Linked DNA regions of Danio rerio. Each later gene encodes a partner of the first gene's protein in a complex. Links are inferred from orthologs where the notes say so. Each region holds a gene or a part of one and is shown on either strand. Other genes may lie near its edges. The genes, in order: myo6b and clta.

The links.
Region 2: the proteins of myo6b (region 1) and clta are in contact, whole or in part, in an NMR structure (PDB 6E5N), measured with the Homo sapiens proteins. The link is inferred for Danio rerio from reciprocal best matches to the Homo sapiens genes MYO6 and CLTA. Residues at the interface, in NP_001355794.1 of Homo sapiens: Met1053, Thr1054, Pro1055, Met1058, Ala1059, Met1062, Ser1087, Trp1089, Lys1090, Tyr1091, Glu1113, Arg1117, Leu1118, Val1120, Tyr1121, Trp1124, Asn1128; in NP_009027.1 of Homo sapiens: Glu47, Asn48, Glu50, Ala51, Phe52, Ile54, Leu55, Asp56, Gly57, Gly58, Ala59, Pro60, Gly61.

The regions. Positions count from the first base shown.
Region 1 is NC_133192.1:38,550,974-38,554,804, forward strand, and holds part of myo6b (myosin VIb), read right to left. Parts: intron 3,531-3,831; coding exon 3,312-3,530; intron 2,067-3,311; coding exon 1,867-2,066; 3' UTR 1-1,866. UniProt on the Homo sapiens protein: Myosins are actin-based motor molecules with ATPase activity. Unconventional myosins serve in intracellular movements. Myosin 6 is a reverse-direction motor protein that moves towards the minus-end of actin filaments.
Region 2 is NC_133176.1:13,754,219-13,758,049, reverse strand, and holds part of clta (clathrin light chain A), read right to left. Parts: intron 3,517-3,831; coding exon 3,399-3,516; intron 3,311-3,398; coding exon 3,199-3,310; intron 1,171-3,198; coding exon 1,117-1,170; intron 1-1,116. UniProt on the Homo sapiens protein: Clathrin is the major protein of the polyhedral coat of coated pits and vesicles.

The DNA.
Region 1 (3,831 bases):
TTTAATGCCGTTATTTGATTCAATTAGGGATACTTTGACTAGCTATTTGATGTTTTAACATATTTCTTTACAATAATGTTATAGTAATATGTTACTATATAGTAATATTAAGTAATATAGCAGAATTTTACTTTAAAAGGTAAAATGTCTTGCTGCACCAGCAATAGTGTGAAAAAACTGCTATTGGTTTAACAATTAAAATAAATGGACACACCTCCAAATACACCATTGGTTGAGCTGATGATGCCAGGGCTGGTCAGGATGCTTAAATAAATAAACATTTAGCGATTTCTTTTGAGGAATATATTATCATTTTTAGCATATTTTAAAGAGCCCATATTATGGATTTTGAAAATGACCTTCCATACAGTGTGCAGCACAGCTCTAAGTGAATGAAAACATCCAGCTGAGGTTTAAATCAACCTTGTTTAAAAATATCCAATTTAAAATAAACGATTCGACTTAAAAGTCGTTTAAATGATTCGTCGTTCGTCAGGATTTTTTGCATGTTGATATCCACGTCGAGACAAACTAAATATAAAGTTTTGGATCCGGTAAAACGTGAACGCTCCTTTCACTTCAAACGCTAGCAGTGCTGGTGAGTGTGGGACTGAAGGTGAGTGAACATTAATGAGTGAACGTTGTAGTGATTAATGCAATAATCTACCCTGCAACCGGGAATTTGTTGGTCGTTTGTTAAAAGAAGGATCAAAAAAGACTATTGATGTATGAGATTTTGACAAACTTTATCAGTACACAGTTCATGGATCAGTTTCACAAGTGTAAGATTAAATTGGCTGTCTCCTTGTTTCTCTAGCTTGCAAATTATGTATTTGTTTGTGTTTGGCTACTTGTAATCGCTCTACGCGGCATGTACTCTATCTGATTAACTCTTAATTTTCACATATCGCGTCTAAAACCACGTTGAAAACGCACAGCATGCTGCTTTGTTTATGGATTAAAATGCGTCCATTAGCTCGCGATCCTCTGTCGTTTGTCATTGCTATAACTACCGTCAGCTGTTCCTACACATGCAGCGGTCAAGTTTTAAAATAGTTCAGCTTTTGCCACTGTGTGGACTAATACTGAATGTGTGTTGTTGTTTTTACTTGTGGTTAAGAATAGAGCGATATGCTGATGTTTAACTGTATTGCTTTAATGCGCTCCTGCATTGGGCTCACACATATACTCTGCACTCTGACTACTTCAACAATGTAGATAAGCTGTGGTGGGCGTTTCACACTGTGTCGCACTGAACGCAGTCGACTAATCGCAACAGACTAGGTCATCAGACTAATCAGCGCAGATTAGCATCGTGCTAAGGAGGGGTTTGGGAACAAATTAATCTTTGAACAAATCATATGGGAGCCGTTGGGAAAATGAGGTAAAAATAAATGCAAATTATAAGAAAACAAAAGTGTTTTTGACCTTGCATGCATATCAGCCTGTAATTGGAGACCCACAAAACCAAAATATGACTTTTTAATGTATAATAGGGGCTCTTTAACATGTCACAAATGACACATCAACTGTAATAATAAAGAAGGGGCAAGCAAGGATATTTTTAGAAATGTCTGTCACTGCACAGCGAAATGTCCTTTATAAGTCCTTTAAATGAGGGGTGACATTTAAATAACATCCCTATCAAGTGAGATGTGAATTTTTTGAAAATCTTAAGGCATCTCTGAGCAAGAAGGCTCAGATTAGTTTGAAAACTGGTTTCTAAGGTCACAGCAAAATAAGGAACAAACTACAAACAAAAAAAGTGAATTAGACTTCCACTAGAGTTGCCCTTTTTTCTAGCAGCACAACTTTTAATCTAAATGTGCATAGATAAAGTGAACCAATAAGAGAAATGTGTGATGTTCACTTGAGGAGATTCTGAAGCATGGCGGTGGCGTAGGTGGGACGGGCCTGCTTGCTTTCAATAGCATTCTTCAAGTATTGGATTCCACCGCAGCGCTCCCAGATCTCCTCAAACTGCCGGGGCAGGATCTCGGCTCCACGTTTTCGTGTGAGGCCGGTCTCCTCCAGACTCAACTCGCACATCTCCATGTCATCTTTACCTGAGAACGGTTACAGAAGGCGTCAAAATCTGTCTGTGTACACATTTTACATCCGCAATTAAGCATCGAATTGTCTTTTAAAGGTGCTGTTTGTAAGTTTGGATTCTACTAAGGCATAAAAATACCATAATATGTTTGTAGATATTTAAGAAACCTGCTAAGTGAACATTTTTGTTTATCTGAAAAACAATGTTGACGTCAGACATTCCGCTTTGAAAATGTGCGTTATGTGCTGGAACTTTAACCTGCCCATTGCCAGTTTAGCTAATTATAATTCAGCACCCCAGGGTGCTTTGAAGGAAAACAGCGTATTTGATTCATTCAGTCATGAAAGCTCTCAAAATATGCATCCGATACCAAAATGCAACCTCCGGTGGACAGTAACAGCCTCCTAAATGAGACACAGATTCAGAGTTCCACATGAGGTGATTTTTAATTAGCAAATAATAAAAAATATTATGAAGGTAAACATTAGGAGAGCAGGTAACATTGTAACCCCGTGTTCTAACAACACACTACATGATGAGATACACAGTAATAAGCAATTTGGCTGTTTGCACCAGATGACAGAAATTTAAATACAGCCATCAGAAGCACAGAATAGTGCACCTACTGCACTTCAATGATATGGTAAGGGATACAATCTAATTAAACATATTAAACCTCTTTAACTTTATCAAATGTACATGATGAATCACTGATATGTGTTGGCTTACTCTGAGTCACAGTTCTAAAATTCACTTTCAAATGGTTTATTTTATTTTCAAAACCTGAGGTGAACTATCTGCTGCTGCTTTCAGTAGTATGACAATAAATGTCATGTAAAATGGCATTTAAACTCACATTATTAGCATTTAACACTGAACAAAGTCCATGAGGTGCACCTGAGGTGATCATCGTCAGTTTATCCTGTTATTCAGCTGCGAGAAATAAAAGCTTTTTCTAAAATATCAATTCGAGGTGTTGGTTAGGACAAAAACTCCTTTCAATATGGTAAATATTTCCTCTATCATGTGTTATTGCTTTTATTTAGAACACAATCTAAATCAGTCTTTAGGCTTGATAGTCGCTTCTGTCTCCAATCTAGCAACCTGTGCTTGCGTGTGTTTTGAACCAGGAGTGCAATACCTAATTTAACCGCCTTTAAGAGTTTCAGCTATTTTATCAATTCCAGCTTCTTTTCTGGCGTATTAATTGTTTATAGATTGGAGAAAATGACTGATTTAACTTCATAGTATTTGGTACCTGCAACCAAGAGGATCGGCTGCTTGTCTGGATGAAGCTCCATCTGCCTAGCGATCCAGGGTCCATCAAAGTGAGCGTACCACCAGCCTTTCTTCTTGTTCTGGGGGTCTTTGTACTGGTCTGCGGGCCGGATGAAGGGAATGCGGAAGTAACGCTGCTGTCGGTTCATCGCGATCTCTTGTTGCCGGGCTGGGACAGGTGGAGCAGGGTTTTGCTGGGCTGGAATACAAATATATAAAATTTAAAAAAAATATAAAAAAATTGTGTCTGCTTGTCTGTTCAAAACCTGCTGCTGAGATTCTAGGGTAATCTGATTGTGATGAAGATGTCATTTATAGCATGTTGTTACAAAATGTGTTGTTCTAGGTCAGGGGAGTCCAAACTCAGTTCTAGAGGGCCGGTGTCCTGCAGATTTTAGCTCCATCTTGCCCCAACACACCTGCAAGGATGTTTCTAGAAAGTCTACTAAGAGCTCGATAAGCTAGCCCAGGTGTGTCTGATTGGGCTTTGAACTAAACTT
Region 2 (3,831 bases), on another chromosome or scaffold:
GAAGGTAACCGATTCGCTGCAGCGGACCCTTTAAATATGAGATCAACGCAGCGAATTTTGGCGCTCTTGCCAGTGGAGCAGTAAACCCAGACAGTGTTTGTCACCAGACCAAACTAAACGCTCTCACCGCATTCTGTGTGAACACACAGTTAATATATACAAATATACATTTTGCCATTTATAATTTGTCAAACTTGATTTAATGAGGTATACTTTTCGACTTTTGATCCAAAATTTGTACATTTATTTCATTTTGCACAGTTTTGACAGGATCTCTTCTACATTTTCCACATCACAGATATCTTAAAGCCCTAAAAGCAATTCAATTCAACAGTTTGTTTATAGAGAGAGCTTTTATAGTATATTCTAATAATAAACCCATTACTATTATTTATACTAAAAGAAAATAAAAGGCCTAGTGCACCTCTAAGACACCCAAAACACAAATATATCCAAAAACATATCAGACTTAGTTTTAGAAAGCATTAAAAAACATTTTTGTTTTTTAGCATTCAATATCTGGCTAGTTCACTGATCCGCTGGTTTTAAGATCAGCCAGAGACGTAGTTGCTTGAAAATTCACTAATACTTAGGGAAGAAATTCACTGCATTACAGATAACACAACTACTTCTACTACACTAAATAGCACTAACATATTGAATCATCTAAATTAATATTAATAAAAGACAATAAACAGCATTGACTAATCATCATCTATACAAATGTTTACACAGTATATCTTCAATATCGGAATAATTCACACAATATGAAAAAAAGCACAACACAAATGACAGAAAAATAATGAGTTAAACGTTTTATGAATGACCATGGAAAAAAAAAAGATCTTGATTTAAAAAAAAAAAATGTTGGACAAGACAAATAAAAAAATCTATGAAACTAAAACAAAAATATACAAATGAACAACATGCATAGTGTGCAACAATATTGGTCTGATTAGTTGAACAAAAACTATCTGGCTTCAAACATGAAGTGAACGAAGAGTTTAGTTAGAGATGTGTGAGATTAACAGGTGATGGAAAAAAAGATGGGATGCGGGGAAACGAGGGAATGAGAGATGCATGTGAAAAGAAAGGATGTTAGTTTTAGCAACATACACATAACCAATCAGATCAGCGAAGGGTTGTTTGTAGAAATCCTCATCCAGCACCCTGGAAGTCCCAGAGGAGAGCAGCGAAGCAGGAGAGAACAGAGAGAGTGGTAAAAAGGAGAAAAACCACACTCATACAGAGCCAGTGTTAACACCAGGCCAAGAACATACAAGATGACAAACCGTGAACACATAAGAGAGACAGACAGAGACAAAGAACTCAGACAACCGTTTCACATTGACAGGAATTAAGACAGATATTCTGAAAGAGATTTAAGAAGACGTGGCATTTTCATTTGTACCAAAACATTTGTGAATTTTCCACTGGGACTGAATGGGAAGCACAAAGCATGTGACTGAAGTTACATTTGATTTCTGACTTAATACCTGTTCTTGTAATATAGTTCTCAGATGCTTCACCAACTGATCAAGAGTTTCTCATCACTTTTTCCCCCCATTCTAACACAACATCCTAAAGCGATGATGGATACAATACCTGCTCCTGATTGGACCAGCTATGATTTTGTGACCTCACATGACCATTGAACAAGGTCAGACTCTCAGATCTGCTTCTTCAGTGTGCTTTTCGGATCATAAAATGGCTACAATTGTACTTGGAGTACTTGAAGGTGTGCTTTTGTGCTGGAACATTAGCTTGACCTATCCTGTCAAGGATAAATACACATGGCACTTAAACCAGCAGTAGGTGGCAGCAGTGAGTAATAAGTCATTATTATTAATAGGGCTGCACGATATTGGAAAAATATGTTGTTTTCCTGCAGTATTTATTGCGATATAAATACAACTTCACCAGATAGCTTGAATAGCTTCATGTGGAATTTTTTTTTTTTATTATTCAGACTGATTGGGGATTATTCTGGGTGTGAATGATGTATAAATTATCATTTAAAAATATGGCTAAATTAAAGCTAGTGCTTTATGTTTCTTTGGAGAGTCAAACAGTATTCAGATACAAAAATTGAATAATCATATGCAAGATAACGCTGTATAGTCATTTATTTGTTGAATAAATAGGTAAATACAAGGAATCTGTATTATGGCCACTGAGTGGTACAGCACAATACAGTATAGATGGGTATGGGTCACCTTTATCAGGCTTGCTTTTTCACTTATTAACACATGCAGATGACAAACTTTGTTATGGTTCGAATCCACAAGTTTCATGTTTTCAGGATAATCGCTCTTACTAAAATATAATACCAACATATACACATCTATGTGCAGATGCACACATTGCAATATTGATGCTAAAACTGTATGTTGTGCAGCCCTAATAAATCATTACATTAAATCTAATCAAACGGTTATGATAATTCTATAAAATACAAGAACGTAATACGATTCAAGTCTATTTTTGTGCCATAGTCAACATCAAAAAACCTACAATATTATTGAAGATGATAAATCTTTACAATCACTCATGCTGGGAGTGTCCAATGAGTTGCATTTTATTTATTTATTTATTTTAACTGTCTATTTTACTTTTTACATTTTTATTAATCTTATTTATTTTGAGTATTATGGAGTTGTGTATTCAACCTATGCATACACTTGCTGTGCATTTGTATGACGATTGAGGACTTGATCAAACACCATTTGTTTGCAGACTGTTAGCGATGTGCCTCTTCTGGTATAATGTCTCGGCTGTGTATTTAAAAATGGAGCTTCTTTGTTTGGGGATGTTTGTTTGTTTGATGTTGATTGTTTTTCTGTTTGGTGCAAATTTATTTAAATATATATATATATATATATTTTTTTTTTAATGCTGTGTAAAACTTTTTTTTAATATACAAATGGAGTAATAAAGGGAGCCATGCACTGTCTAGTGCACAGGTGTCAAACTCAGTTTGTGGAGGTCCTTAGCTCTACATAGTTTAGCTTTGACCCTTATTAAGCACACTTAATCAAACTAATGGAGTCCTTGAGGCTTGTTTTACACCTCTGGGTAAGTGTATTGAAGCAGGGTTGAAACTAAACTGTGCAGGTCTTGTGCTCTTGTAATCGCACAGCAAAAGCCAGAAACTAGGCCTGCCTTGTTGATTTCTTCTGCTCGAACAGTGTTTTGTACCTGTTGTTGACTTTGGTTTTCTCCAGCTGCTCGTTCTGCCTGGTGTGCCATTCCTCCAGCTCCAGCTTTGCCTTCTCTTTCCACTCGGCCTCCTGTTTACGCGAGTTCGCATCTGAAGAGAAACATTCGTCAACCCTAAATGAACTTCAAACTTTAAATGCATCTATATAAAAGCATCCAGGGGTCAGGTTTGCGTTTACCGAGCTCCTCCAGCCTATCTCGCTGCTCCTCTCTCCACTTCCTCAAGCTCTCCGGCTCAGCCTGCAACCGATCCACACTGGAGATGGCCGCGTACACATCTGAAGGGCCATTACTCTCCTACAGAACACACACAGCCAAGCCACACAATTCCAGAACGCAAGTTAGTTGATAGATTTTAATTTTGGTATCTGGATCAGGGATTTGTCCATTATGTTTATGAATTTTATTATATATTTGAATTGGAAAAACAAAACTGGCTTTTTAAAATAGGAGTCACTGGTAAAACTGGGCATTCAGAATTCTGCTCAGCATGTAAAGCCTGACAATTTATTTGATTTGGAGTCAAAATTATTTGTTCATCCATCAAGCATTGTATCATATTTGACACAATACATAGACATTTACACACATTATGTGTCATATAGAAGTAAT